Macaca mulatta: one gene and its partners. The protein of the gene in region 7 interacts with the protein of the main gene of each other region in a pairwise test. Links are inferred from orthologs where the notes say so. Each region holds a gene or a part of one and is shown on either strand. Other genes may lie near its edges.

What was found.
Region 1: the proteins of FHL3 (region 7) and MRPL27 interact in binary tests that used the Homo sapiens proteins (3 or more experiments, as listed by UniProt). The two-hybrid records come from large-scale screens. The link is inferred for Macaca mulatta from reciprocal best matches to the Homo sapiens genes FHL3 and MRPL27.
Region 2: the proteins of FHL3 (region 7) and SAXO1 interact in binary tests that used the Homo sapiens proteins (3 or more experiments, as listed by UniProt). The two-hybrid records come from large-scale screens. The link is inferred for Macaca mulatta from reciprocal best matches to the Homo sapiens genes FHL3 and SAXO1.
Region 3: the proteins of FHL3 (region 7) and CNNM3 interact in binary tests that used the Homo sapiens proteins (3 or more experiments, as listed by UniProt). The two-hybrid records come from large-scale screens. The link is inferred for Macaca mulatta from reciprocal best matches to the Homo sapiens genes FHL3 and CNNM3.
Region 4: the proteins of FHL3 (region 7) and TTLL10 interact in binary tests that used the Homo sapiens proteins (3 or more experiments, as listed by UniProt). The two-hybrid records come from large-scale screens. The link is inferred for Macaca mulatta from reciprocal best matches to the Homo sapiens genes FHL3 and TTLL10.
Region 5: the proteins of FHL3 (region 7) and RFX3 interact in binary tests that used the Homo sapiens proteins (3 or more experiments, as listed by UniProt). The two-hybrid records come from large-scale screens. The link is inferred for Macaca mulatta from reciprocal best matches to the Homo sapiens genes FHL3 and RFX3.
Region 6: the proteins of FHL3 (region 7) and SNRPG interact in binary tests that used the Homo sapiens proteins (3 or more experiments, as listed by UniProt). The two-hybrid records come from large-scale screens. The link is inferred for Macaca mulatta from reciprocal best matches to the Homo sapiens genes FHL3 and SNRPG.

Annotation. Positions count from the first base shown.
Region 1 is NC_133421.1:59,626,959-59,631,493, forward strand, and holds the start of MRPL27 (large ribosomal subunit protein bL27m), read left to right. Parts: upstream 1-1,508; 5' UTR 1,509-1,522; coding exon 1,523-1,562; intron 1,563-4,123; coding exon 4,124-4,255; intron 4,256-4,535.
Region 2 is NC_133420.1:80,253,278-80,257,102, reverse strand, and holds part of SAXO1 (stabilizer of axonemal microtubules 1), read right to left. Parts: intron 1,286-3,825; coding exon 1,083-1,285; intron 1-1,082. UniProt on the Homo sapiens protein: May play a role in the regulation of cilium length. Stabilizes microtubules at low temperature.
Region 3 is NC_133418.1:5,489,256-5,493,080, reverse strand, and holds part of CNNM3 (metal transporter CNNM3), read right to left. Parts: intron 1,902-3,825; coding exon 1,686-1,901; intron 192-1,685; coding exon 42-191; intron 1-41. UniProt on the Homo sapiens protein: Probable metal transporter.
Region 4 is NC_133406.1:239,503,135-239,507,559, forward strand, and holds the start of TTLL10 (inactive polyglycylase TTLL10), read right to left. Parts: upstream 3,078-4,425; 5' UTR 2,549-3,077; coding exon 2,427-2,548; intron 2,077-2,426; exon of another isoform or gene 2,072-2,076; coding exon 1,995-2,071; exon of another isoform or gene 1,896-1,994; intron 1,716-1,895; coding exon 1,409-1,715; intron 1,275-1,408; coding exon 1,156-1,274; intron 1,026-1,155; coding exon 896-1,025; intron 1-895. UniProt on the Homo sapiens protein: Inactive polyglycylase.
Region 5 is NC_133420.1:95,924,230-95,928,632, reverse strand, and holds the start of RFX3 (transcription factor RFX3), read right to left. Parts: upstream 2,886-4,403; 5' UTR 2,744-2,885; intron 1-2,743. UniProt on the Homo sapiens protein: Transcription factor required for ciliogenesis and islet cell differentiation during endocrine pancreas development. Essential for the differentiation of nodal monocilia and left-right asymmetry specification during embryogenesis.
Region 6 is NC_133418.1:54,435,794-54,440,220, forward strand, and holds the start of SNRPG (small nuclear ribonucleoprotein G), read left to right. Parts: upstream 1-1,429; 5' UTR 1,430-1,517; coding exon 1,518-1,549; intron 1,550-1,665; exon of another isoform or gene 1,666-1,996; coding exon of another isoform or gene 1,997-2,004; intron 2,005-3,191; exon of another isoform or gene 3,192-3,292; coding exon of another isoform or gene 3,293-3,339; intron 3,340-4,427. UniProt on the Homo sapiens protein: Plays a role in pre-mRNA splicing as a core component of the spliceosomal U1, U2, U4 and U5 small nuclear ribonucleoproteins (snRNPs), the building blocks of the spliceosome.
Region 7 is NC_133406.1:202,788,496-202,792,814, reverse strand, and holds the start of FHL3 (four and a half LIM domains protein 3), read right to left. Parts: upstream 2,883-4,319; 5' UTR 2,696-2,882; intron 2,409-2,695; exon of another isoform or gene 2,066-2,408; coding exon of another isoform or gene 1,924-2,065; intron 1-1,923. UniProt on the Homo sapiens protein: Recruited by SOX15 to FOXK1 promoters where it acts as a transcriptional coactivator of FOXK1.

The DNA of each region.
Region 1 (4,535 bases), on a different chromosome or scaffold from region 7:
GGCCCGAGACGGGTTTTCATTATGCTGGCCAGGCTAGTCTTGAACTCCTGAACTCAAGTAATCTGCCCGCCTTGGCCTCCCAAAGTGCTGAGATTACAGGCATGAACCACCACAGCTGGTCAAAAACTGTTCTTTTAAAAAATTGAGACATAGGCTGGGCATGGTAGCTCATGCCTATAATCCCAGCACTTTGGGAGGCCAAAGCAGAAGGATCACTTGAGTCCAGGAGTTCAAGAACAGCCTGGGCAACATAGTGAGAACTCGTCTCTACAAAAAAATACAAACATTAGCTGGGTATGGTAGCTCACACCTGTAGTCCCAGATACTGAGGAGGCTGAGGTGGGAGGATCGCTTGCGCCTGGGAGGTCAAGGCTGCAATGAGCTGTGATTGTACCACTGCACTCCAGCCTGGGTGACAGAGTGAGACCCTGCTTTAAAGAAAAATAAAAATAAAAATAAAAATAGAGATATAATTTGCACAGCACAATATCCTTTTAAAAGTGTACATTCAGTAGTTTTTTAGTATATTCACAATGTTGTGCAACCATCATCACTATTTTCATCACCTCAAAAAGAATTCCTGCAGCCATTAAGCAGTCACTATCCATTCCCTCCCTCTCCCCAGCTCCTGGCAACCATACATCTGTCTCTATGCATTTGCCTATTCTGGATATTTCATATAAATAGAATCATACAATATGTGGCCTTTTGTGCCTTTTTTCACTCAGCATGTTTTCAAGGTTTATCTGTGATGTAGCCTGTATCAGTACTTAATTACTTTTCATGACTTAATAATATTCCATTGTACGGATATGCTACATTTTGTTTATCCATTCATCACTTGGACATTTAATTTGTTTCCATTTTTTTGGCTATTATGAATAATGCTGCTATGAACACTGATGTACTACTTTTTGTGGGGGTATGTTTTCAAATCCCTTTCGTGTATATACTTAGGAGTAAAACTGCTGGGTCATATGCAAAGCTAATCATTCCTGGAACATTTACTAACACTGTAGGTATGACCCAGGAGGAGACATGTAACCTGCCTAGGCCTCAGTTTCTTCCTTAGTAAAACAGGGATGATAACAGCACCCATTTTATAAGGTGGTGAAAATTAAATAAAATAATGCATCTACCGCGCTTAGTACAGCATCTAGCACACAGCTGGCTGAATAAAGTAAGTTGAATGACTAGGGAGGGGGCCTCATCTCTGACCCTTTCGCTGGGCCTCCGTTGACATCTGCAAATGAGGGGAGTGAGACAAGCGGGCCCCTGTCCGACAAGCTCTGCGCCTCTCAGGCTGGCGGTCCGCTGCAGAGGCTCCTGGACGCCCTAGCCACCAAGACTCTGCAGATAGGTGCTCAGGAGGGAAGTCCCGCCTAATCCGCTGGCCTGCAGCGGGGTACACTCACCTGCAACTTCTCCCGCCACTCTTTCAACTGCCACGCAGGGCCCGGAAGTAGATCTCCTGATAGCGGAAGTAGAACCTTTTCGAGACCGGAAGTGAGTGAACGCAAACATGGCGTCTGTGGTGCTGGCGCTGAGGACCCGAACAGCTGGTAATGGGACGCAGTAGTCAGAGCGGGGCGAGGCGGGGAGGCAGAGTGGAGCTCCAGCAGGGAGGGAAGGAGGTGATACTGATCCCCGCGGAGGACCCTGGATGCGAGGGGAAGTGTGTGGGCCACTCCATTTTTGAGGGACGCTGTCGCTGGTCACGTGACACATCCTGGGTAGAACCATGAGTGGGGGAGTTGGAGGAGCACTTGGCCTTCCCCTGCCTCAGGAGCACGGACGGCTTCCTTGGCGGTTGGGGGTTTGGGTGGATCCTTTCTCTGTATGAGTATTAGTAACAATGGCACATTGGTGATGAAAAAATTAATCTATTCATTCAACAAATTGAGGTCTGTCTTTGTGGTAGACACGGCGGCAGGTGTTCAGAAAATCAGCAGAAAACGTGAAGACATGGCTTCTAGCCCCCGAACGGTTTTCTCTGGTGCATAAGCCAATAAATGAACACATAAAGTAGTTGCAAACTGGCAAGTGCTGTGAAGAAAGAAAATGAGTGTGTGTGTGTGTGTGTTTGTGTGTGTGTTTTCTTAGATTGAACGGTGAAGGAAGTCTTCTGAGGAGATAACATTTAAGAACTAAAGAATGACAGGAGGCGGGGTATGATGGCTCATGCCTGTAGTCCCAACACTGGGAGGCCGAGGCGGGCGGATCGCTTGAGCCCAGGAGTTCAAGACCAGCTGGGCCACATGGCAAAACCCCATCTCTACAAAAAATACAAAAATTAGCCCAGTGTGGTGGCGCTTGCCTGTGGTCTCAGATACCCAGGAGGCTGAGGTGGGAGGATCACCTGAGCTCAGGAGGTCGAGCCTGCAGTGAGCCATGTACATACCACTGCACTCCAGCCTGGGTGACAGAATGGGGCCCTATCCTCACCCCACCCCCCCCAAAAAAAAAAAAAGAATGACAGGAGACCTAGCCCTGTGTAGAGTGAGGGACAGGAGAGTGACTTGAGCCAGTTCTACATTTTGAGAAGCAAACTATTCCTGTAATGTAAATTTAAAGGGGATAGGAGTGGAAATGAGGAAATCAGATGGAAAGCCATAATATCCCTGAGCTGAGATGATTTAGCCAAGACGTTTGTGGTGGCAGTGAACTTGGAGGAAAATGGATGAATTTGAGATCTGTTCTGGAGTTAGCATCCACAGAGCTTGCTGGGGAACTGAATATGTGAGGTCAGCAAAGAGAAGGAATCCGCAGTGACTGTGGTTTCTGCCTAAGCAACTGGCTGAATGGTAGCACCATTTACTTTGAGGAGGAAGATGGGGAGTAGGGTGAAGAGCAAATATTTGTGAATGAGATAATGTAAGTAAAGTAAAAGCCCAGCTCCTGAGCTTAGTAAGTATGTAAATGAATGAATAGATGTTTAAAGGTAGGTAGATCTTGGTGCTGGGCATTTAACATGTTGTCTTTCTGAGTCCTTATCTCTGGTCCTTTGCCGCAGTTAGTCTATGTTGTCATGGAAATGTCAGAAACCCAGGCTTCAGACACTCTGAACTTACAGGCTCCAGAGACCCACAAAGCTTCTCTAAAGACACTGGCATGGGCCTTAAATCATGGCTGTGTCTGGAGACCTGCAGGCAAGGAGTTGCACCCCTAAGCTTGTCATACAGCAAGGGACTACCATCTTAGTATGAATTTTAGTTTGTTTTACTTTTTCAAATGAATGCTATTGAGCACTTTGGAATGAGTATGGAGGGGTCATATTAACAAGGGCAGTCTGTGGGTCATGGTTGGACCTCTGCTTGATGTGCTTTGAGAAGAAAGGGCCCAGCCTTCTGAAATGGCCAGGACCCTGTGGGAGCCACCTTCAGACCAGCTACCCTTTTAGTTTACTAGTATTTGGTGAGCAGTGGATGAGTGAATAGCTGAGAAGGTCACGGGTGAGGCCTGTAATCCCAACAATTTGGGATCACCTGAGGTCAGGAGTTCCAGACCAGCCTGGCTAACATGGTGAAACCCCGTTTCTACTAAAAATACAAAAAATTAGCCGGGCGTGGTGGCACACACCTGTAATCCCAGCTACTTGGGAGGCTGAGGCAGGAGAATCGCTTGAACCCGGGAGGCGGAGGTTGCAGTGAGCCAAGACTGCGCCCATTGCACTCCAGCTTGGGCAACAAGAGTGAAACTCCGTCTTAAAAAAAAAGAAAAAGTCGTGAGTGAGCCTGAAACAGAAGCCTCTCTGGATGTGCTGGGCTTCCCAAGTCTGTTCTGGCCCCTCCATGGTGCATGAGGGTGAGTGAGCCTCTGAAGCAGGCAGCTTTGTGGTGTCCATTTCTCCTCAGCACATTTAGACTAAATGTGTCAGGACCCAGAACACATGATGTTTATTTTTTTCCATTTATGTTTCACTGCTCCCCCGCCCCCTCCCCCAAAAGAAGAAAGCCAAGGACCTTCAGGTATTCCCTGAGAACTAATACACTCAGTGGCACTTCTGCTCCCCTGACACATCTTTCTCATCTCCCCACCACCTCTCACCTCTCAGCATGTGCCCCATTGAGGCAGAAATAGTTTGAGCCTGTCTGTCTGAACAATGTTTCTGTTTTCTTTGCAGTTACATCCTTGCTGAGCTCCACTCCTGCTACAGCTCTTGCTGTCAGATATGCATCCAAGAAGACGGGTGGTAGCTCCAGAAACCTTGGTGGAAAGTCATCAGGCAAACGCCTAGGCATTAAGAAAATGGAAGGTGAGGATGTGCCTTGGCTTCCCCTTCCCAGCTGCACCCTGTCCTGGTGTTCCTTAGGAGAGCAGAAGAACCCTGCATGTTCCTGGCCCTATTCTTCCTCACCATCATAATTGGCTCCAGATTAAAGGAACAGATAAGACCTGAGGAAGGGTCATAGGGTGGGTGGGTGTGAGCCATAACCATGCAATTAGAGATAAGAGCTGCTGGGTGGCAGATCCTGCAGTGCTTGTGTTGGACTGTCTGGGAGTTGTTTTTGGCCAGGGGCAGGCTTGGAAGTTGG
Region 2 (3,825 bases), on a different chromosome or scaffold from region 7:
AAAAGTGGCCCCCTCTCTTCACAGCATTGAGAGGTCTGTGAACTGTTTAGCATGTCCTCCTAGGGCAAAGGTGGGTATCATAAGCATGAGTTATTGATGACAAACCTGGTCTCCAGTCTCATGGTCTCAGTCTTTGCAGCTGAGCTCCATAGAGTGGCTGTCTGCTAGCACAACACATATGACCACATATCCTGTCTCTCCGCTAGGCCAGAAAGTCGAGGGCAGGCCATTATGCTTCCTTCAGTTTCTAGGACCACACCTCGTAGGTAATATCAATAGATACTCAATAAAGAAAGAAGCAATCCTGTTTATATAAAGTTCAAAACTGGCAAAACTAATTTAAGGTAAGGTATTAAAGGTTAAAATAACGGTTACATTCTCGTTGGGGAGGGTGACAGAAATGGGGTAGTAATGTTATATTTCTTGATCTGGGTACTGTTTACATGGATTTGTTCAGTGCAAATTTATTGATCTGTATAATTATAAATTGTATACTTTTCCATATGCATGTTACATTTTGATATATTTTTTAAACACGTGAATGATATATTTTTTAAACACGTGAATGAATCAATCACTTAATCAGTGGTAGAAACTAACTTAGCTTGAACTTGAAATGCTTCCCCCAATATAGGATTCAAACTGCAAGCTAAGGCAGGGGTTGGCAAATATTCTGTATAAGAGCCAGGTATTAAGTGTCTTATGTCTCACAGAATGTGGTGTCTCTGTCAACAACTACTCAACTTTGCTACTATAGTGCAAAAAGTAGCCATTGATACTGTGTAAGTGAATGAATATGGCTGTGTTCTAATAAAACATGAACACTGAATTTTGAATTTTATATCATTTTCACAGTCCTCAAATGATAGCCTTTTGATTTGTTTTTCAATTATTAAAAAAAAAAATGTTTAACCTTTCTTAGCTCTCCAGCTATACAAAAACAGGCTGCTGGCCAGATCTGGTCCGTAGGAAGTAGCCTGCCAACTCTTGCACTAAGTGACTTTGCACATTAAACACGTTTCCTGGCCCGCACACAGGCTCAGCCTGTCCTTCCCCCAATCTGCCCCTCTGTGCTCTCCCACCTTTATAAGTAGGCAAATACTCCATCTTGTTGCTATATGGATATTTACTGTCCCGAGGTTTGATGGGGTCCACTCGACAGACAGTGTAGGGATTGTAATCTTTCTTATACGTCGTGAGCAAATCCATATTCTCTTCACTTGGGACGAACTGGTCATACTGGTGGGCCTTCACTGGTGCCACTTTGTGAGGCCCAAAATCTCTCCTGTAAGGAAGCAAGTGCATGCTGTTGGGGTCCTTGGCTTGCAATAAGGCTTATGTTTTCTGCTCAACCCAACTCTATAAACATTTGCTGAGAAGTCATGTTCTACTCTACCTGCCTTCCCCGCTCCCCTGAACTGTTTCTCCTCTATTTCCCACCTTCGGGAAGGGTACCATCAATTATGTCTCACCCAACTCAGACACCTGTACACATCTTTGACCTCCTTTCCTCACGGCCCCAGAGCCTATCATTCACCAATGCCCCTCCACCCCATTGGTTTTTCTTTCCCCTTGGTCCAGACCCTGACCATTTCTCACTTGGATCAGGTAACAGCCTGCCACCTGAGCTTCCTCCTTCATCCCTACCACTTCTATTCAATCCCCATAATGTGGCCAGAATAAACTCTCTAAATAGAAATCAGATGGCTTTCCCCAGTTTAAAACTCTTCCAGGCAAAATTCAACTTCCTAGAATAATTTATAAGCCTTTCTGGACCTGGCTCCTGCCTTACTCACCCTTGTCTCTCACTATCCCCACCCCACCTGAGCACCCTGCACTCCAACCACAATGTCACTACTTCTACTCCTGCGCTCTCCACCTTCCTTCCACCCAACCCCTTCATTGTGGAGCTAACTTCCTTTCAGGTACCTCCACCACCTTCTCTGTGTTCCCAAAAGCTTCTCCTGCTAATGTTTATCTCCTTCTTCTGCTTAGCCTACAGAAAACCCAGAAGAGGAAAATAGCGAAATAATTGGAGACCCTAAGTCCTTCATTTCTCTGCTATCTGGTGTCAGCGCCCGCATTATTTCAGGGAGTACCAAAACAACAGGATCGAAAAAGTATAATGGTCTTCGCTAAACAGGAAGCAGTCCCTCTCCAAAGTATCCCAGATAAAAAGGCCCAGATGCTCACTGCAATGCCCACCAGGAACCGCCCTAAGGAGCCAGGGCTTAGCTCAGACTTGTGTTGCCCTCCAGGGCACTCGCAACTTCCCACCTCTCAATGCTAACATTTCCCTCTGAAGGGTGTCTGCTTCACACAACGAACTGTTTTTGCCTGGAACCCATTTATTCAACCGGACAAAGGGAGGTTAGATTTTCCCTGATGGTGCTTGCCAGAACAGCCCTGTCAAGGGAAGGGGAAGGTTTCCGGACAGGAAAACATTAGGCCCAAACACCAATAAAACCCACTTCCCGGCCAAAATCTGGAGCAGCATTACTGAGCCATGCTTGACTAGCAAAGGTAACACGCTCCACTGTAACCTGTCTTGCGTGAATTATACACATGATTGTCAGTAAACCCGAACCGGGTCCTGAAAATGCTTGGTGGGATGGGAGGAGGAAGTTAGGAAGCAGGAGAATTAGTCTCTCTAGGGCTCTAAGGAGGAAATGGGAGATGCTTCAGTTGAACTCCCCTAACACCCTCTGGGTAGATTTAAAAATATATCTTAGCAGCAGTTATAGGACATTCAGCCTGGACTTCCTTTGTAGGGGCCCTGCTGTTAGCCTGAAGTGTCTGGAAGCTGACTGTGTATATCGGGGCTTATGGAGGGAATGGACTGAACAAGAAGCCAAGGGTCAGCTCCTATTATCTACTGTTCTCAATGAACAAGTACTACACCCTGGTGTCTATTCAGCACTAAACCAATTGTAACAGGGAACTAAGAGGGTAAGTCCTTAGGCTACAAAGACAAATGGAAATGCCCAGAAAACTCCATCTGAAAACCAGCTGAGTGGAAAGGGACTCTTGGTCAGAGAGTGTACATTCTAAAGGGAGTGCTCCCAAGGGAAGTTGAGCTCTCCTCACTCCCAGAAGGGATGGACAGATTTCAAGGCAGCCTGAGACCACACATTCCTAAACCCTTATAAAAGCCTGTGTTCCGTGATGGCTACCTAAGCCTGCACCCTATTCATTTCCAGGGAGTATCAGGAGGTACCAAGGGCAAGCAATGAGGAACAAAGCTGGGTGCCTATGGGTGCCTGAGCTGCTGCACTGAGCCCACCCAACCTCAAAGCACCTAGGAATGCTTTCCAGCTGTAAGCCTGCCACTCTCGGGGACCCTGCACCCAGAGTCGATGGCAGGCTCTTCTTCAGTTACTCTGACCAAGAGGACCAGCTTCCTCTCAGGGATGCCACAAAAACCTCCCTTCAAAGGCTGCCAGCCTCTTGAAAACTAAAGCACATTTACTGCCCATCTCCCACGGCTTCTACTGGAAAAGAGCAGACAAAAGCCCACAACCAAATTCACCAGTTCACAGACCATTCTGAAATTGGTTTCCCGAAGACAAAAGCCAATCATCTTTTCCAGTAGAAAATGTAAGTTCCTTTCTAAGTATTCCTCTATGGTTTAATTTATTGATCAGCTATAACTAAGGCAAATGACTACGGGGGGGTGGGGGGAGGCAATATCTACTTCTTAAGAGAAGAAAAATTTTAAAGTTTGACTTTTTTATAACCTACCTAAACATAGTTACTGTGGCTCAGGAGTGAATTTAATCAGAATTTATGTGTTTCCTCATTATGTTTTTATGTTGAGAACATTCA
Region 3 (3,825 bases), on a different chromosome or scaffold from region 7:
GGTGAGGAGAGCAGGGGGCGCGGACCACCTTCCCGCCTCACCTCGGGACAGGAAGCGCTGGGTGGCCAAGAGCAGCTGAGGCGAGATTTTTACTTTATATTCATCATCAGACCCCTTGAACAAGGAGAACTCCTCCTTCCGCTTGAGAGGGGCCATCAGAGAAGCAGGCTTCCTCCTCACCACAGTGTCTCCTAAGATGGAAGAAGAGGGCGCGCTCAGGCATCAGCCACCTGTCAGTCAACACCACCACACCAAGGGACTGCATCGCCTGCTCCTTCCTACTGAGGCCAGGGGGTCCTCGACGGAGCAGCATCAGAGCCCCAGGGACATGTCTTCAGCACCACTCCCTCCACGGGGCCTGCTCCCACCCCAACCACACAGAGCGAGGGGTGGCTCCCTGCCTTGGAGCTGGCTGAAGAGAACGCTGATATGATAACAAAGCAGCTCTTATAAAACAACAGGCATCCCTGATAGGTCACTGGACGTGGACTCAATTTTATTTTAATTTAGGCCAGATGTAGTGATTCACACCTGTAACCCCAGCACTTCAGGAGGCCGAGGCGGGAGGATCACTTAAGGCCAGAAGTTCACCACCAGCCTGGCAACAGGGAGACCGTGTCTTTACAAAAAATAAAATAATTAGACAGGTGTGGTGGCACGCGCCTGCAGTCCCAACTGCTCAGGAGGCTGCGGTGGGAGGAAAGCTCGAGCCTGGGAAGTTGAGGCTGCAGTGAGCCATGACTGCACCACTGCACTCCAGCCTAGATGACAGAGCAAGACCATCTCAAAAAAAAAAAAAAATTAAAAATTAAAAAATAGTAACAGGCCTCTCTGGCCACTGAGAAACTTCTCACTAGAAAGCATGTATTCAAGGATGACCAGTGCAAAAGGGCCGCAATTAACCTGGAGACCCCAGGCCTGTGGCAGTCTCAGGAATGGAACCAGAAATGCTATGTTTGAAAACTGACACGAGTAAAGCAGTATTTCTGGAAGCATGCGGGACAGGGGGCCCGGCCATGAAGCGCAGGCTCTGTGCAGCTCTGCAGACCTCAGCCACCAACCTAACAGGCAGACACTTTTACCACGAAATCAAGGGCCCGGGATCAGCTGCTTTGGGAAGACTTATTTCCACCCCCTCCCAGTGTCTCAGCCTGGAGTACAGTGGCATGATCTCGACTCACTGCAACCTCTGCCTCCTGGGTTCAAGCGATTCTTCTGCCTCAGCCTCCTGAGTATCTGGGACTACAGGCATACGCCACCACGCCCAGCTAATGTTTGTATTTTTAGTAGAGACAGAGTTTCACCATATTGGCCAGGCTGGTCTTGAACTCCCAACCTCGTGATCTGCCCGCCTCGGCCTCCCAAAGAGCTGGGATTACAGGCGTGAGCCACTGCGTCCAGCCGGGAAGACTTTCTTCATGGCAAAGAATGGGTTCTTTCAGAGGACATTTCTGTAATGTACAAAAGAACCTGCAAAAACAAAAGCACCTCGGGAGACAGAAGGCTGGGAAAGGCCCATGAAGGGCAGAGCTCTCTCAGTAATGGAGGAATCTAACAGGACTGCTGCTAACGGAGCCCCAGGCGAGCCCTCCTGCAAGGCGGCTCCCTGCCAGCGCCCAGGCAGGGCTGAGAAGGGGCCTGGCTGTGGATCTTGCTGGGTTTCAGCAGCACAGAGGCCCACTGACCTCGGACGCAACATACACCTGGGGAAGTGCGCGGGCCCAGCGGAGACGTAACTGCCAAGAGTCTGGACTCACGGTAGTCTTCAGACTCGTCCAGGATCTCGGACCTGATGATCTCCTCGATCACGTCCTCCAGGGTGACCAGGCCCAGGACCTCGTAGAAGGGGTCGCCCTCACCCTCGTTGTTCACCTTCTGCACGATGGCCAGGTGGGACTTCCCTGCGGGCGGAGGACACTCATGGAACAGCTTGCTGGGCCCCCGCACTTTGATTCATCTCCCTCGGGGCCCACCAAAAGGACGTGGCTAATGTTCATGTTCCTACAGCGGGTCAGGCACAGCCAGACTCTTTTCTAGGTTTTTACTTAAGACGCCCAGCATGACTATGAGGACTGGCCTTATTTTCACACGGGTTGAAAATGAAGCCCTGGGCTCATGCTTGCTCATCTGCACAGGCCCCCCAGGCAGAGGTGGCCGAGCTGGGATCCAGCTCCAGGTCTGTGCGCCTCCATGCCATGGATGCAGTTCAGACAAGCATCCAGTCGAGAACACATGCGCCTCACACAGCAGCCAGCCTGCATATGCAGGCTAACAAGGGCATGACTCCGGAAACGCAGGCTCTCCTGCGGCAGTCCACACGGGGCGGCTGAGTGAGGCCACCCAGCCTGACTCTCCTCGGGAGGTTTTCCTAATTCTTTTTTTTTTTTTTTTTTTTTACAGTAAATATATATGCTGTCCATCCTATGTAAATGTGAACTCCTTCTTGTCCTTATGATAGAAACGAAAAAGAGATAGAAAGATAGATAGACTGTGTGTATGTGTGTGCGTGTGTGTGTCTGTGTATCTTTCCGTTTTCCTAATTCTTAGAGCTGCCCATTAGGGTCTGTGAACCAGGGGATGAGACGCGTGGCAGCTGACCACTCAGGAGTCAAGCTGTGCAGGAGGAGGAGCACCAGGCTGATCTTCCGCCTTACCCTGTCTTTCTTTCTCAGGTTAGCTTCCTGTTTGGTTTGTCTGCTTAGTGAGGGAATGTAAACTTGGAAAAAAGCCCAAGTCTCACAGTGTTGGGGAATGCTGGGGAGGCTTCAGGAATTTACTGTGTCAGGTAAGTGCTTTTCATCCACACTACTTTAGACCCGTCTGAAAAAACCAGAACGCAAGCCACCTAAGTAATTTAAAATCTGAACGGCTGCGTTAGAAAAGTCAAAACAAACACACAAAATTAAGTTTTATATTGTAAGTAACCCAATATAGTCAAAACAGCATTTCAACATGTCATCAATCCAAAAAATAAACACAGACATTTCGTCTATTTTGCACTCTCTGAATCTGGTGTGTTTTATGCTCACAGCACATCTCAACTCAGACTCCACCTTTAGGTACCACAGCCCCAGGTGGAGGGGGCTGCCGGCCTGCGCTGCACAGGGCCAGCACAGGGGATGGGAGCAATTCATCCAGCCAGGCCCTCCTTTGTCACTAACGGAAACACTGAGGGAAACTGGCCTGGACCTGCCTGTGAGGGGGACCTGCTTCAAGACTCTCTTGAGAAATCAAAAAGTCAAGTTCACGTTGTGTGGATCATACTTTACATCCCGTGAGCTTGATTTAAAAAAGCACAGTTCTCCAGGATGCTTGCATTCCCCTGGACAAAAAGCTGGAAATGGCCACACGAGTCATCTCCCCGCTTTCTAGGAGGAAAGGCTAGGGCCCCTGGAGATGGCCACTCAGCCCTCTGAACCGCATTTCTAGACACCTTCTAACCCTCGGTGCTTGTGCTGGGTGCCGTCTCTACGTGGGCCACGGCTGCCCCGCCAGAGTACAAACCTGTCAGGCCAGGCCAGGAAGGCCACGCGCGACTTGTGGTTTTGGTTAATGCCTCGGATTCCAGCACCAAATCCCAGGATCTAAACAGCCACCTCAGCGTAGAGAGGCCTCATCTCGACTCCCTTCTCCCAGGAAGCCAGCCCCTGTCACAGGTTTCCTGCAGAAAGGGACTCACTCCTTTGCTTTCAGACTTCTCGAGAACAAGGCACACAACTCTCCATTTCCTGCCACACTGGGATGACTCTACCACGAACAGAAGAAAGCAGGCCCTGGAAGATCCCCCGGAACAGTGGTTGTGTGACTGAATCCCAAGAAGAACGT
Region 4 (4,425 bases), about 37 Mb from region 7:
GGACGGCCTCACTCAGGGCACCCACGGGTGACGGTGGCACGGTGTGGGATTTTGGATGGACGAGTGTTTGGGGTGAAGGCACATGACAGGTGGGTTGTAGCTGGGTGGGTCTGTGAGATGGACGGGTGGGTGGTGTCAGGCCCAGTGGGCTGGGGACGTGTGGGATCTTCCCTGTTTAGCCGAGGGGAAGAGGCTGGGTTTATGGGATGGGCGTTTGGCCCTCTAAATGACAGGTGGAAGGTGGATTCAGGGTGCTGACGGGTGGGGGCTAGGGCCAGCCTGGGAACCCCGGTAGGCAGGGGCAGGGGCAGGGGCAAGGGCGGGTGCAGGGGTGGGTGCAGGGGCAGGGTCAGGGACAGGGATGGGGCAGGGGTGGGGGCGGGGCAGGGGCAAGGGCAGGGATGGGGCAGGGATGGGGCAGGGTCAGGGTCAGGGACAGGGATGGGGCAGGGGTGGGGGCGGGGCAGGGACAGGGGCAGGGATGGGGCAGGGATGGGGCAGGGATGGGGCAGGGGCGGGGGCGGGGGCGGGGACAGGTCAGGGGCAGGGACAGGGCAGGGGCAGGGGCGGGGGTAGGGGCAAGGGCAGGTGCAGAAGCAAGGGCAGGGACGGGCAGGGGCGGAGGCAGGACCAGGGGCAGGTGCACGGGTGGGGGCAGGGGCAGGGCAAGGACGGGGCAGGGGCAGGGGCAGGGGCAGGGACAGGGGCAGGGATGGGGCAGGGATGGGGCAGGGGCGGGGGCGGGGGCGGGGACAGGTCAGGGGCAGGGACGGGCAGGGGCAGGGGCGGGGGTAGGGGCAAGGGCGGAGGCAGGACCAGGGGCAGGTGCACGGGTGGGGGCAGGGGCAGGGCAAGGACGGGGCAGGGGCAGGCGCAGGAGCAGGGGCAGACTCACCTGGCCTGGGTCCCCCCCGGCGCCTTGCTGGCCTTGCTCATGGCCCATGCCCGCCCCCGAAGGGTGCTGAGCAGCCCGATCTTGGTGGTGAGGAGCTTGTTGTTGGGAAGCTGGTACAGCAGCTGCTCTCCTGGAGGTCAGAGGCCAGGGCACGTGTGGAGGGCGTGCAGGACCTCGGTCCCCACTCCTCCAGTCTGCCCTGTGCTCCGGCCCAGGAGGCCCCTCTGCAGGCTGCCCCCCGTGGCGCCGGCTCCCGCTACCTTCCCGGAAGCTGCCGTAGCTGTCTCGGCTCTTCACCTCACACCACTTCAGCACATAGTCCTCCCGGCGGCTGTCCTGGATGCGCCGCCAGCCCTTGCTTTTGCAGTAGGAGCTGATGCTGCAGGGGGGCCGGGGTGGGGGTGACCTGGGGGCCCGGGTGAGGCCGGCGGGCGGCCAGCGGAGGCCGGGCTGTGCCCTGGGAGCAGGCGGTGGGCATGCAGCGGGACAGGACCGCCCAGGGCCCCTACTCACATCGCAGCCCCGTTGTTGCCTCCGATGTAGAAGAAAGGTCCCGGCCTCGTGCTGTGGGGCGATGGCTTCCCGTCCCCCAGCAGGAGCCCCTCCAGGAGGGCAGCTGGGGGCCCAGTGGCATCAGTGTCATCCGAGTCTGCAGGCGGGTGGCTGGTCAGGAGCCCAGGGGGTCCGGGCGTGGTGGAGACTCTTCCTGCCCCCTCCAGGTCCAGCCCGCCGTGCCCACCTGTGTCGTGGTCTGGCTGGCTTGGCTGACACGGGAGTCCCTCCTCCTGGCTGCTCCCCATTGGCCTCTCATGGGCTGGGCCTGTGAACGGGGTGGGGTCCCACCCGGGTGGCTACGGGAGCTGTCCACTCAGCCCAGACATGGCTCAGTCAGTTCGCTCCCAGCCCATTTCTCCAAGACCCTGGACAACCCCCCTGGCCCATTTGGGGCTCAAGTTCAGCCCGAGCTCCGACCCAACCAGGCGGCCTGGGGACTGCTTACACCTGGGGAGGGGCTGCGACCACCCTCCAGGGCCAGCCTTCCTGCCAGGGTGGGGAGCTCGGAGCAGGGGGCAGGGAGGTCGACCCCCACCCTCCTCACCAACAGGGCAGTGGCCTGGTGCAGGACAGGGGCTAGGCTGTGAGGCCAGTGCTGGGTGCAGACGTGACACAGGGATGGTCCCAGGAGGGCAGGGGTCACAATGTCCATGATGATGTCACGGGTGACCCAAGGGGCCATTGTCAGGCAGGGGAGATGAGGGGCTGCCCTTCTGGGAACAGGCAATGCTGCCCAGCGGCTGCCCATGGGGGTGGTGCCAGCCAGGCAGAACCCTGGGCCGCGGAGCGCGCACCTCCCCTCTGTGCCTGTAGAGCCTGGCGCCCACAGCTGGGCCTTTTCTCGGAGCAGCAGGGCGTGGCCGTGTGTGGGTCCTGCCCCTGCCCCATGAGACCGACTGACTTCCTTGGGGATGGAAGTCCGTCCCAGGGAGGCCTTGGCTTTGGAGAGGAAGGAGGCCACTCAGGGCTGCTCTATTCACCTGGGACTCGAGCCCGAGGCCGCCGCTGGATCCTTGGTCTCTTGCCCCTCTTGGAGCCGGCTTGGGTCCGAGTGGGCGGTCCCCGGCGATGGACGAACCGGGTGCAGCTGTGGGCCATTGGCCGGGGGGCGCCAGGCCGAGGGCCCTGCAGGGAAGATGCTGCTTTGACCCTCCTGTGGGAACTTCGGGCAGCCCGAGGCCCCAGCACTTGGATGGAGCAAGCAGTCAGGCCCACCCTGCCCAGGAAAGGGCGCCTCCCAGGGCCGTGGACTTGAGCCTCTGTAGGTGGCTGGCTCCTGCCTCCGTGGCAGCCGTGGGGCTTGGCGCCGTGGGGGGCCGAGGCTGTCTCTGCACCCTGTCTCTGCCGGGCGAGTCCTCCCCTGCCGGAGCTGCTCCTCGGGCGTGGGCGAGCTCGGCCTGGGTGCCAGCTGGAAAGAAGGACAGCGTCAGGCCTGCCGGGTGAGGCACCTGCCTGAAGAGTGGAGGGTGGGGGGACTCCCTGGCCCGAGCAGGGGTCTCCTCTGTCTCCGCTGCTGATCCCAGAGGCCAGTTGTGGGCTGTGTGCAGCCACCTGGTACCTGCCATCCGGGTTCCTCTGCGGCCGCCCCCGGGCGCCAGGCCCGACCCCCAGGACACTGTCCCCAGCACCTTCCTGTGTTGTGACTCAAGAACATCTCAGGAATTTTCAGCCAGTTCCTTGACAGATCCTGCTACCGCCGTCTCCAGCAAACAAAGCCATCTTGGGGCTGCTTGGGAGCTGAGGCCTTTTTTTTTGTTTGAGGCGGAGTCTCGCTCTGTCTCCCAGGCTGGAGTGCAATGGCGCGATCTCGGCTCACTGCAACCTCTTCCTCCCGGGTTCAAGCGATTCTCCTGCCTCAGCCTCCCGGGTTGCTGGGACTACAGGCGCCGCCACCACGCCCGGCTAATTTTTTGTATTTTTAGTAGAGACAGGTTTCTCCATGTTGGTCAGGCTGGTCTCAAACTTCTGACCTCAGATGATCCACCCACCTCGGCCTCCAAAAGTGCTGGGACTACAGGTGTGAGCCACCGCGTGTGGCTTAGGTGAGGACTTTCAAGGGTTTGAAGGAACTCGCCCAGGAGACAGGGGAGCACACGGCAGTGGAGGCTCTGAGGCTAGAGAAGGCTGGAGCAGGCCTGAGGCTCCAGGCTGGGGGCAGAGCTCTCCAAAGGCAGCCCCTGCGGCTGACCTGACCTGCAGAGATGGCGGCATCGCTTTCGGCTGCACGAGGCCTTTGTGTCTGCCCCTCCCTGCCCCACCTGAGTGACAGGAGGGAAGGAGACAACGAGGAAGCCCACGGGCAGGGGAAGGCGGGTAAACCGAGGCAGCCGTTCGCACGATGACCCAGCTGGGTGGGGCCACTGGGGCCCGTCCTGGGGGAGGAGCAGAACACAGGCTGGGCCCCGCACCTGTGGCCGGGAGAGCCTCACGCCCTCTTCCTAGGGTGGGCTGGGCACGAATGGAAGAAGTTGGGAGCCCTGAGACCCCTCCCCACTCAGAACAGGAGGACTATTGGAGGAGGCTGGACCCTGCGCTGACATGGAACAGGCACGTGCGTACGATACTCTGCCTTCAATGGAGACCTCAGCTCCTTCTCATGGGTTCTCAGCACCCAGGAGTCCTGCTGGGGAAGGGGATCCTCTAAAGTTCTGACTCACAACCAAAGGGGCTGCCCAGTCCCGACAGCATCATCAGAGGGACTCCCAGGTGTGAACGAGAATGACAGGTCTACACACGCACACACACACGCACAGACATGTCTACACACACGTCTACACAGACACACACACCTACACACAGACACAGGTGTACACACACAGACACGTCTACACACACCTACACACACACACACGTCTACACACACATGCACAGACACATCTACACACACGCACAGACACAGACACGTCTACGCAGACACACACACACCTACACACAGACACACAGACATGTCTACACACACAGACATGCACAGACAC
Region 5 (4,403 bases), on a different chromosome or scaffold from region 7:
CTATTTGAGTACTGGAGGAATAATATAGAAAAACTAAGCACCACTACAACATTTAATGAAAACATTGTGAAACGATGCAAAATTTCTAGAAATTCATTAGTTTGCCAAATATGTGTATACGTATGATGCCTACACCATTTTATATAATTCACAGGCAAAACAAACCAAAAACACTGAGGCATTATGGCATACATTGAATCACAGATATTTAACTATTCAAAACAAGTTACAAGTGACTTCTGCTAAAATAGTTTTAGTTTCAAAGCATGATCACTTTTACAAATTTCTATTAGTATAAAAACTAAAAACACAAGAAAGTATCAATATGTAATATAGTCCCTTCTAGGAAAAATATTAAGAAAGAATAAAGTAAAAGCTAAGTATCTACTCTTGGGTTTAATTTTTAAATTTACCATTTCTTAGTGTTTCTGATTATTTAAGCAATTCCACAGCAGCTCTAATAGCGATTTTATTCCACATATATGCTTCAAAAAATGGAAAAGTAATGAAATTCAATTTAAGTTCTGCTCTCAAATCAACTTGTGAATGAAAATCTAAATCACAGAAAACGAGCTATACATGAGTGAAATGCCTCAAAAAAGTTCTCAGACACTGCAAATATTAAATTGTAACATTCCAGCATATAATTTACTTAACTGAAAACCTATTATGTAAATGGCATAAGGTCTGAAACTGTCCCAAGACAGCAAAACTCCTATTAACTTCAGAGAGTTTATAGGACCCAGGAGCTTCATCATCCAAAAGTGTTCAGGCATTTGACACTCAATCTGAACAAAAAAAAGTACAAGTTAGTATTAGAGATTTGCATGGAACCCAGTTTGGGGAGGGGAGGAATAATTATAAAGAATTCTGAGTACTCTGAGAAAGACTTCTTTCAGAACAAAATATCGTCTTCATTTAAAATAGCAATCGCAAGGAAATGAATTGAAAAAGTTTTTTAAAATCCCAACTCTTAGTTTACAAAATATTAGCCTTAATAGCATTATAATTACCTACCCTGCTCATTGACAATCTCAAGAATAATTAGTACTGTCACATTATTCACAAGCTGCTGTCAGTTAAATCAATATATGTTTGCTGTTAGAAGACTATTTGAATAAGCATTTTAAAACTGTAAATTAAAAACTTCAATATGTGCAACTATAATAGTACGTTGTATTTGTTTTAGCACACATTCATTTTCAAAACTCTTTATTGATAAATCTATTAACTAAAAGTTAAGCTGAAAAAAATGAACAAATTTAGGGGATCTGTAAAACTGGGTTAACGCTAACCAAGAACCTACTACATAAGGACTAATAAGTATTCAAATCTACAGAGAAATATAATTTTTAAAAGAAATACTTAAAAAGGAAAAAGTTCTCTCTCCTGAGCAGGTTCAAGTCACTGTCCAAAGAAAATCAAAAAGTAAATAAAAAGAATATGTTAAGTACAAACATGCCTAGATCTTAACCACAAAGAAAGTGAAATATACACACGTTTCAAGTTGAGAAGCTTCATACATTCTTTATGAACTTGACTTCAATTTCAACTCTCAAAGGAAAATGAACAGAGTAGATTAAAAAAAAAAAACTCTTAAAGTACCATAACTGTCACAAATAACATTGTGAACTGAGTTCTCACAAAGCCTCCTTGTGTCCCTTCCCTGTTCATCACAAAGTCTCATAACCACAATGAAAATTGTTAACACTCTACTGCGGAGAAAGAGGATCATCAAAGTGAAACGGAACCTCACTACTACCCCTCCCACCTCCACATGAAGGATAAAGCACTGTCAATAACTACTAACCCAAGTATCACAGATGCCGTGCATCCGGTTTAAATCACAAGCACACACACACACACACCCCCCAAAGAAGAGAGAGGAGACAGACTTTAAAAAAGAAAAATCTCTTTCCCAGTACAGCAAAGAGAGCCCAACGAAGAGGCCCCAGGTTTCCGTGTGTGTGCAAGGGGTGTGGGGGGGTGGGGGAGTAGAAAGAGGGGGAGGGAAGAGTGCTGAATGGATATTAAGACTGTTTGCCGCACAAAGAAAACACAGTTTTAAAAAGAAAAAGGAAAACCGTGAAGCTCATGATGGTGAAAGAAGAGCAGCCCATTCAGCACCAAGCAAAGAGGGGCAAAAATGAAGGGAACAGGCGGTGGGAAAAGTTCACCAACGTACGAGGATAAAAATAACAAAACCCATAACAAGGCCCCACAAGTGAACAACAACAACAACAAAACACCACCTCTTGGGTCCCCCCCTGCACACTGTTGTCTATTTCGGCTTTGAAAGAAGCAGGAAACAAGCAGCGTTAGAAAAGAAGAAAATTAAAGAAAGAACAAATTCTTATCTCTTCACCTGACCCTTCTCCTCATACCAGACCTAAGGGAAAGATCCGGCATCCGCATCGGAAAACTGTGGCTCCCTCTCCCGCTCGGCTCGCAGCCCCCCAATCTCCCGCTCCATCCCTGAAGTGCGGCCGGCGCAGGGCCGGGGCCGGCGGGCAGCGCGGCGCCCACACCCCCGACCCAGCCGCGGCGCGCAGGGTCCATTGTAAACAAGCCCGGGGAACAGAGCCCCTCGGCGGCGGCGCCGCAGCGGCAGCCCCCGTGTCAGGAGTGAGACCCCTGCACAGCCACACTCGGCTCGCACACACGAACACACACACGCACGGACACACGCGTTCACACGCAGCCACACGCTCCCACACACATGTAGAGACCGAAGAATATTCACCTTGGCTGTGGATTATTGTGGTGTTGTTGGTGGGTGATGGAGATGGTGGTGGTGGGGAGGAGGAGGAGGAAGAGGAGGAGGAGGAGGAGAGGAGTAGTTGTTGTTGATGGGTAACAGTCGCCAGGACTACGGTGACTATGGCGCTTGATTCACAAGGCAACGGTTGCTATAACTCACAAAAGAGAGAGAGAGAGGGAGAGAGAGAGCGAGAGGGAGAGGGAGACACTCGCACGGGGAGGGGTGGGGGAGGGAAGAGGGGAGGAGGCGGGCCCGGCCAAGCCGCCGGAAGGGGAGGGAGCAGCGCTGTGACTGACGGCCCCCGAAGCCGGGCGGGGTGGCGGGGTGACGGGGCACGAGGCCGGGATTCCAACACAGGACTCCGAAGAGGTGCGCCTATGCTTGGTTGGGGCTGAGGTCACCAAGAGTCCTCTCAGAGGGACGTTACTACACGCGCTGGCGAAGCCCAGGAGAATTTAGAGTCGCGGTGCGAGGATTACTATCTGTGAAACGAGGGCTGCCTTTCCCGGCAGCCAGCTTTGTGCAGAGACGTCCCGGAGCCACGAGAGAGTAACGGCTAACCCGAGGGAGGGGGTGGCGAGGGTGATTCCAGGCACTTTGTGGAAAGACGAGCTATGGCTAAGGAAGAATCCACTTTGAAGAGCAACCCCCGCCCCTGCCCGATACGTTACTTCCGGGGCGGGGCGGGCAGAGGGGCCCGGATGTGCCGCCGTTTTTTTCGTTTCTGAGGTGCTGGCGGTGTTCCTGGTCGCGTTAGCCTGCTGGCTTTTCGCTTTCCTGGACGCTTCAGGGCTCCGCGGCCTGCGCTGGACTGGAGGATCCGCGTCACTCTCGCCCTTCTGCTTTCCGCGCTCTGACCCACTCCCGCCTGCTGAGGGCACGACTTGGAGGAGCGCGGGCGGCGGGGCGTGAGCGAGCAGCCTCTGCCGCCATCTTAGAGAAGGCGAGCGTGGGGTGCGCGTGGGCGCGAGCCGGCCTCCCGCGGCCCCGCCGCAGAGTGGCGCGGAGAGGTGAGGTCCAAGCGTGTCCGGCCCTCACTCCAGAACGAAAAGGCGAGGTCATCACTCCCTGCTTACAGGGCTGGGAGTAATTGCCTGTAGAGAGCAAGAAATTGCCCTGCCCGTAGGCTGAGAAAACGCATTTGGCGAGTCTCCTCGACGGAGGGCGTAGAGGGGCGGGGTAACTTACACCTGCCTGCGACACCATTCTGTTAGTTTCTAGTTCTGTTAGTTTAAGCCCTTACGTGCTCATCCCTCTTTAAAGACTGAACCGGGGCTTGAGCTCAAGCCTGGATCCTGTTACCTACCTTGCCCTCAGCCCCACTTAGTCAGCCTACTGTAGCTGAGGGTCTTGCTATTTCCGGCTGAATTGAGATAGACGAATGGCTTCCGTCTGTGTTGAATGTTGTTAACACAACCTGCCATCTCAAACACGCGTTGATAAGGCACAGCGTCTAATGCCTCATGGTTCGAACAGACTCCTCCAGTTTTCTGCAGACTCGAGTCCAGCAGGCACATGCCCCCAGGCCCTGCCAATACCCAAAATCTGCCAACATTTGCCACTAAGCTGCTTATCCAAGACAATGACATATTAGAAGTAGAGCGTTAGGAAGTCAGTTTTCCTCTTGAGGCTTAATTTTTGC
Region 6 (4,427 bases), on a different chromosome or scaffold from region 7:
GAGGCCACTTTTTACACATCTTGACATGAAAAAGGAATACCTTGTATTAGAGAATGTTTGTGTGCTGCACTTCACGTTTTATATACGGGGCAATGGCACATCAGTGAGTTCTGGAGGTAATGTTTGAAAAATTGCAGAACTGCCAGGCATGCTGGCTCATGCCTGTAATCTCAGCACTCTGGGAGCTGGAGGCAGGCGGATCTCTTAAGGCCAGGAATTCGAGAACAGCCTGGGCAACAAAGCAAGACGTCGTCTCTACAAAAAAAAAAAAAAAAAAAAAAAAAAAAAAAAAAAATTAGCTGGGTGCAGTGGCTTGCGCCTGTAGTCTAAACAACTCAGGAGGCTGAGGTGGGAGGATTGATTGAGGCCAGGGGTTCGAGGTTGCAGTGAGCCATGATCACATCATGCATCCCAGCCTGGGTGACAGAGCAAGACCTCATCTCAAAACAAAAAAAAATTTTTTTTTGCAAGACCCATCAGTCGGAAATAGATTGAAATTCTTGGAGACAGGCCCAGTCACCTTACTCTCCAAATGGTGCAGAGGCTGCTAATTTGCATGTTACCGGAACCCTACTTGGTCTGAAAGTATGCTGTAGGATACCTGCCAAAGAAATATAGAGGCCCGGCTGGGCGCGGGTGGCTCACGCCTGTAATCCTGGCACTTTGGGAGGCCGAGGCGGGCGGATCATGAGGTCAGGAGATCCAGACCATCCCAGCTAACACAGTGAAACCCCATTTTTACTAAAAATACAAAAAATTAGCCGGGCGTGGCGGCGTGTGCCTGTAGTCCCATCTACTCAGGAGGCTGAGGCAGGAGAATGGCGTGAACTCAGGAGGCGGAGCTTGCAGTGAGCCGAGACCGAGCCACTGCACTCCAGCCTGGGGGACAGAGCGAGACTGTCTCAGAAAAAAAAAAGAAATATAGAGGCCCATTCCTCCAGGGATCATTATTTGGTATTTTGGTTTAGATGAAGAAAACAAGCGATACGATCCACAGACATGCGGGATTTGCCGGGTTTGCCCAGAAGTTAGAGAGGGGACTGTTATCTCAGTATTTCAATTTTATTTTTTAAATAGAGGAGGGGGTCTCCCTATGTTGCCCAAGCTGGTCTCGAACTCCTGGGCTCAAGAGATCCAAAGTTCTGGGATTTACGGCGCCAGGCTTTTTTTTTTTTTTTTTTTTTTTTTTTTTTTTTTTTGGCTGTTCCATAGACAAGAACACGGATACTCCATCGTCAGAATACCCGTTATCTCAATTTTGCCCAAGGAAAACCGAATTTAGAAAGGTGCCTAGAGGGCCCACCCCTCTGTCCTGGCCAATAGCTGACGACGCAACCGGAAGCTCAGCAATGACCGAGGCGCTCAGATATCGCGATGTGAAGTGTTAAAAACTGCCAACAATCGATTGGCTAACTAGGTCGATGACGCCAAACGCAAGACGCCGGGCCTACCGCGGGAGCCTGAGGGAAGCCGTGCATTCAGTTCCAAGGCGTCTGTGAGTCCGCGGAGTATACGCCATGAGCAAAGCTCACCCTCCCGAGTTGAAAAAGTAAGTATGTGTGAGAGCCAAACCGAAGTGGTCGCTTCTTTGCGTCCCCCGAGTCCCTTGGTGTTTCAAGCCGAATGGCTTGAGCCGCTTCACCTTATTTCTTCTTCCGGTCCGAGGTCGCCGGCATCCCGGCCAGGCTCCGGCTCATGAGACGTGAAGCCCGCGCAGAGCTCGCGCATTGGCGTGGTTACCGCCGGCAGCCACCGCACCTCCTTCTGGCCGACTAGTCTCTCTGTCCCGCGCTCCGGCCCCTAGTCACCCGGCGCTGTCCCTCGTTCCTTGAAGATCTCCAATGCCAGCTTTTGTTGAACATCTCTAATAGCATCATATTCTAGATAGACGGCTAGAGGGGGAAATTCTCTAAAGGAACTAAGGAGGGGATGGAAGGGAAGTGTTTTTAAAACTACGTGAGGCATCGGAATCCAAAAGCCACTTTAGCCTTAGAGAATGTGTTTGTAGGTGTTTCTTTGAGCTTTTACTTAGAAACCTCATTCTTTTTTGTTGCCTATTTTTACATTAAGCTTGAATGTCATGTGTTATCTTGCTCTGATATTGAAACTATGTAAGAACATTCATTTCTAAAATTAATGTTCTAAAAAATAAAATTTTTTTTAGAACATTAATTTTTTTCTAATCAGAGAAGGCTAATTTTTTTAAGTTTCTTTTACACACCCAGTAAAGACAAACAACTTTAAGGAGGAGAGCCTTAATTTATGTAGGACTCAACGTAAAACTTTAAACTCCTCAAATACTTTTTGACTGGACTTAACAGGTTATGTGTTTCCTCAGTACGTCTCTGTTTTGCTTGTACTCCCTGATGCTGGAATTCTACATGTATTTATTGGATTGCACAGAGGATGCAAAATTTTTACAGGAATCAATTTTTTCTGGTGTAGCATGTGGTTGGCTTTGTGTATAGTTCATTTATTACCAGGCCCCTGGAAGTCAGACATAAGGAAAAGTTCCTATTTAATAATTTTGCGGCCAGTGGCGGTGACTCACGCCTGTAATCCCAGCACTTTGGGAGGCCAAGGTGGGTGGATCACCTGAGGTCAGGAGTTCGAGACCAGCCTGGCCAACATGGTGAAACCCCCCGTCTCTACTAAAAATACAAAAAATTAGCCAGGAATGGTGGCACGCGCCTGTAGTCTCAGCTACTCGGGAGGCTGAGGCAGGAGAATCGCTTGAACCCGGGAAGTGGAGGCTGCAGTGAGTCAAGATCTAGCAATTGCCCTCCAGCCTGGGCAACAAGAGCGAAACTCTGTTTCAAATAATAATAATATTGCATTTAAAGGTATATTTGTATCAAAGCCATCTTTTGTATGAAAACTACTTTCATGTATATTTTAGTTAGGTCTGTTAAGGAATTAATTATTAAAACATAGCCCAACGTTAGAAAAATAGAAGTTAGAAATTATTGTGAAAATTACTCTTTTTATCTGAAAGTTATTTTATTGGTGAGTTGGTGATGTAAGTATCCTCTGGATTCATCAGGGACTGGTGAAATGGTGATTTTTCTTTTTTTAAACAAAAGCACCATTCTCTACTTGTAATCTAAGATTTTATTTGTGATTCATAACATAGTTTTTGAAAATTTCAGAGAAGGAAGCTAGTTTTAATACCTTTCTCTTCTCATCCATAGGTTTCATGAATTGTGAAATCCCGTGAGATCTGCCGTCAAAATGACTTTCAAATTTTTTCTTTCTTTGCTTTCTCACTGATAGCATCTTCTTTTACACCATTATGCCCTCCTTCTGGCTTAGCGTAACTCAGGGGTTCTTAAATGGGGGGTAAGGAATCTGGTGACACCAGGGATGCTGCTAAACATCCTACCGTTATTCGGCTGCCCCCAACAATACAAAATTACCTGGTCCCAAGTGTCATTAGTGCAGAAGTTGAGATACACTGGCTTAACCGAATTCTTCCTTCCACTTCTTAAAATTTGCTGCCACAGTGGTCTTGCCAGTGACAGCTTTAATAATTTATCACAGTATGCAAAACTGAATCTATACTTAAGCCAGCATTCAAACGCCAAACCTTACAGCTGCTAATACTCACGTGTTCTCTTCTCCAGTCAGACTGAACTATTTGTGTTTGCTCTCACTTGCTGTGTGACTTCGAAAAATTGATTTACCTTTTCCAAGCCTAGTTCTCCATCTGTAAAAACGGTAGAAATGACAGACCATAATTGCATGCAAAGTCATTGTAAAGATTGTATAAGATCTTGTGTTATATTTGATATGTTTTATGTATCTTATTAAAATAGTTTTGTTCATCATACTTCATAAATGTGTGTATATATTATATATAATATGTAATATATATTACATATATAATTTTACATATAATATTACATATATATTACTTTTTTTTATATATATACATATATATATATATATATTTTTTTTTTTTTTTTTTTTTTTTTTTTGAGATGGAGTTTCACTCTTAATTCCCAGGCTGGAGTGCAATGGTGCAATCTCGGCTTACCGCAACCCGTGCCTCCCGGGTTCAAGCAATTCTCCTGCCTCAGCCTCCCGAGTAGCTGGGACTACAGGCATGCACCACCACACCCGGCTAATTTTTTTTTTTTTTTTTTTTTTTTTTTTTTTTTTTTTTTTTAGTAGAGACGGGGTTTCTCCATGTTCATGTTCATCAGGCTGGTCTTGAACTCCCGACCTCAAGTGATCCACCTGTCTCAGCCTCCCAAAGGGCTGGGATTATAGGCATGAGCCACTGCACATGGCCCATAAATATATTTTCACTTGTAAATGTATCTACTCCCTCCTTCAGTCATGCTCCTTGTTTTATATTTACATTCTCCCATGATAATCCTATACATTAAAATTGACTAAGTTCCCCACTTCATGGCCCATATACT
Region 7 (4,319 bases):
GAAGCGATTCTCCTGCCTCAGCCTCCCGAGTAGCTGGGATTACAGGAGGGCACCACCACACCCGGCTTAAACATTTTTGTATTTTTAGTAGAGACGGAGTTTCACCATGTTGGCCAGGCTGGTGTCGGCTAGGCCTTTTTGTTTTTGTTTTTTTGTTATGAGTTGGGGTCTCACTCTGTTGCCAAGGCTGCAGTGCAGTGGCACGATCATGGCTTACGGCAGCCTTAAACTTCTGGGCTCAGCCAGGTGAGGTGGCTAATGCCTATAATCCCAGCACTTTGGGAGGCTAAGGCAGGTGGATCACCTGAGGTCAGGAGTTCAAGACCAGCCTGGCCAACATGGCGAAAACCCACCTCTGCTAAAAATACAAAAATTAACTGGGCATGGTGGCAGGCGCCTGTAATCCCAGCTACTCAGGAGGCTGAGGCAGGAGAATTGCTTGAACCAAGAAAGTGAAGGCTGCAGTAAGCTAAGATCATGTCATTACACTCCATCCTGGGTTACAACAGCAAAACTCTATCTCAAAAAAACAAAACAAAACAAAAAAAACCTACTCTGGGCTCAAGCAAGCCACCTGCCTCAGCCTCCTGAGTAGTTGGGACTACAGCCACATGCCACCATGCCCAGCTAGGTTTTTCTGTTTTTTGTAGAGATGGGGTTCTCACTATGTTGTCCAGGCTGGTCTTGAACTCCTGGTGATCCTCTGGCCTCAGCCTTCTAAAGTGCTGGGATTACAGGCGTGAACCACTGTGCCCAGCCTTGTCTGAAATTTGACCTGGACATTCTCAGCCTAGGCCCAGGGAGAGAATAGGAGGCCCCAGGCCCATGGGGCTTGCTGAGGACACCAGTGGGGGCAGTGGTTGCTCCAGCCCAGTCAGCCTGACTCTAGTAAGCATAACTCTTGAGATCTCCCACACAGGTCCACAGGTGTAGACACCTGCATGCTGCTTTGCCACTCACAAAGTCCATGCCCACCACCATCTCATCAGATCTCACAAAAGGCAGGCAGGACAGAGTATCATCCCCATTTTACAGATGAGCACAAGGAGGCAGGAATAGAGCAGGCTTATGCCCGAGGTCACTCAGTTATCAGGACCCAGGTCCCCTGCCTCCCAGGCCAGAGCTCTTCTGTCTCCCTAAAAATACTGCCCTGGTGATGAAGGGGATGATCAGCTTTTAAGGGCAGGGGGACAGGAGATGCACTAGAGCCTGGCTCTTCTCCCCAGCTGCCAGCCCTGTGATTGGAAGGCACCCAGAAGCCTTTCCAATGCCCCATGCCAACCATTCAACTCTTCTGTCCCCCACCCCCAACATGCCCACTATCCAGGAGGACCCCGGCCAGGTCCCACAGCTGTGAGTCAGGATCAGAACAGACCCCTCCCCCACCTTCTAGAAGCTGACAGGAGACTTAAGGGGAGAAATTCAACTCCCTCAACCCTCACCCTCTGCTACCGGGCACCAACCCCAAGCTCTGCTCTCCCCCATGGGACCTGGAAGTCAGAGAAGTCTAGGGAAGGGGGCTGGGGAGCAGGATCCCGCAGCTGCTCTGGGGACAGGAGAGGAACAGTTCATTCACCCTGGGTCCCCCAGGGCAGAGGCAGCCTGTCCAAGATTTGAGTTTAAAAATAAGTTGGGGCTGTCTTGGTGGCTGTGTGTGTCCACGGGGTTCTTCTTGATCTCGAACTTACTGTCTCAGGGCCTCTGCCCCATGGGGGATTGGTGGGCTCAGAGTTTCTGTTTCCCCAGAGCCTCACTTCCCAATGGTTCAGGTCTGGGTAAGTCAGGGGCTGTCCTGGAAGCTGTCAGCCCACCTAGGTCTCTCTGCCCCCACTAAGTCTCAGTCTCCGGTGTCTGTCTCTGCTTCACTCAGCATCTCTGTGTCTGGACACAGCTTCTGTCTTTAGCTTTTGGACGACTCTGTACCTTGACTGGCTGTCCCCCGGCGGCCCATGCCTCTGTGGATCTCAAGTCTTGGTCTCTTCTTGTCTACATGGCTGAATGTCTCAATCCCCACCACATCCCTTTCTCTGTCTCTATATCCAAGTCTCTTTCGCCACCTCTGCATGCCTGAGTGTCTCTGTCTCTAGTCTCTGAGTGTCTCTGCAGGCCTCAGAGAGCAGATTCAGCCTGAGGCCAATGACGCCCAAGCCTCAGGGCACCTCCAAGGCCTGGGGAAGGGCCCCAGGGAATGTGTTCGCTGGGGTCCCACGTATGTTTTCTGAAAATGCTCCAGAAAGCCTGGGACGGCCCCCATGTCTCGGGTCTGTCCACCGGTAACACTGTACGCCCGGTGTGTCCTTGTTTCAATGGTCTCGGTAGCCTCCTCCTGTGCCTCGAGTCCCTGCCTGTCTTGGTCTCTCGCTCCACTGGGCTCTGCGAGAACCTCAGTTTCTCCAGCGCTTCTGGTCGGTCTGTCTCTATCCGGCTTTTCTATTTCAAACTTAGCCCCCTCCCCCGCCCAACTCTCGCTGCCACCCCCGCCCCCGCCCCGCCCCGCCCGGCAGCCCGGAGGGGTCTAGTCCGGGCGGGCGCTCTCCCGGGCTCGGCGTGCCCCGGGCACCTGTGGCCAGAGCCTGGCGGGTACAGGGGGCCGGGGCCGCGGCTGGCCTCAGCCCTCCGCGGGTCCTTTCGCTCCCCGGCCTGGGCGCGGGGGCGGACTGCCGGGGCTGGGAGCCGGGGTCGGCGGGGCGCTCACCTCGAAGCGGGCGGCGGGAGCGGGGAGCGCGCGGCGCGGGCGGGGCGGGGAACCGGGCGCCGCGTCCCTCGGCGGCTCCTACCTGCGGGCCGGGCCAAGCGGGGGCCGAGCGAGCTGCCGGCTAGGCTGCCGACTGCAGACGGACCGTGTGGGCGAGTGGGAGCGCGGCCCCAACCCCTCCCCGAGGAAGTGAGCGCGGGCCCGCCCCGCCCGGACCCCGCCCCCGGCCCCCCAGCCCGCTGCGGGGGCCAGACCCCGCCCCCACCTCCCTTTCGGCCGCCAGCGGGCCCGGCCCCCTCCTCCTGCCCGGCCTAACCTGGCTCTCCCAACCTTCAGGCGGCCGGGACCCCGCCCCTGTCCCCTCCCCGCAGCCTCTGCTCTCCTCCCCTCCCACCCCCCCCCCCCCCCCCCCCCCCCGTCCCCAGCTGCCAGAGGGAGACTGTTGTATTCTATCTCAGGCCGGGGACATCAGACCCCACAGACCATGGTCCACTGGGGAAGAGTCCTGTGGCCTCCTCGGATTTCCCCACCCCCTCACCTTACCCTTAGGGGTGACACTCAACCTGGCCTTAATCCAGCCTGGAGGAGGAGGTTTTGACTCTACTGTCATGAGCCTGTCAGCGGGCACCAATGTGTTCTCTGAAAACATGGGGCGAAGAGAGGACCCCTCCCCACCACAGGGCCTTGACCTCCAAAGGGTTTTACTCCACAACTTTGAGTAGCAAAAACAGGGGTAACCACCTCCCCACCTCCAGTGGCCTCCTGACGCTGAGAAGTCCTGTCTTGCCTGGGTTTCCGCAGTGCCCAGGAATAGTTTTGACCTTTGAGGCCCAGGAGAGACCCTAATCCTTGGCCCCATGATCTTTGGGCTTCTAGGGTGGGGTGTGAGGAGTGTGAGAGGATGGGGCACTGCAGGGGTGGTGGAGGAGAGGGGAGGGGACCTCTGCAGTGTCTAAACCTCTGGCTTCCTCCCTGTGTCCGTGAGGGAGGACTGGCGCCTGCTAGGGACACGAGGCCCCTCCAGGTCCTTGAGGCCACCCCCCCTGGGATCCTCAGGCTTGTCACTAGGAATAAATAGCCTCGGTCTGGAAGGGGTGGGGGAGGGAGGGAGGCAGGAGGCTCTACTGTGCTGTTAGTGGAAACAAGAGACAACAAAGCAACCCTGGAATAACCTTAGCGTCTAGAGTGAAGATTCAGGTGCCCACAGAGGCCTCCCCACACCCCAGGCTGGGTGCAGCGGAGCTCTCACAGAGGAACTAACACCCTCCCAGGCTGGGACTCCTGAGAACCTTTCCCTCCCATCTCTGTGTCATGCCTGGGTTCCTGGGTCCCAAGTCACCCTCCAGGCCTGGTTTCCTTTCAAAATTAAATTATTGCTTGTTTATTATTGCTGTTGTTGCCTAAATGGTAAGAGCCATGAAGGCAGGGCTCCGTTTTGTTCCCCACAGCCTTCTCAGTACTTACTTCAATATCCGGCACATAATAAACATCTGATGAATGAATGGATAGCAGACACTGCTTCAGTATGTATGCCCGTCTAACATCCTTGGTTTGTATCACAGGCACCTGTTATCTGGAGTCCAGGCAGTGAGCATCCAGCCCATGGATGGGGACTTTCTCTGGG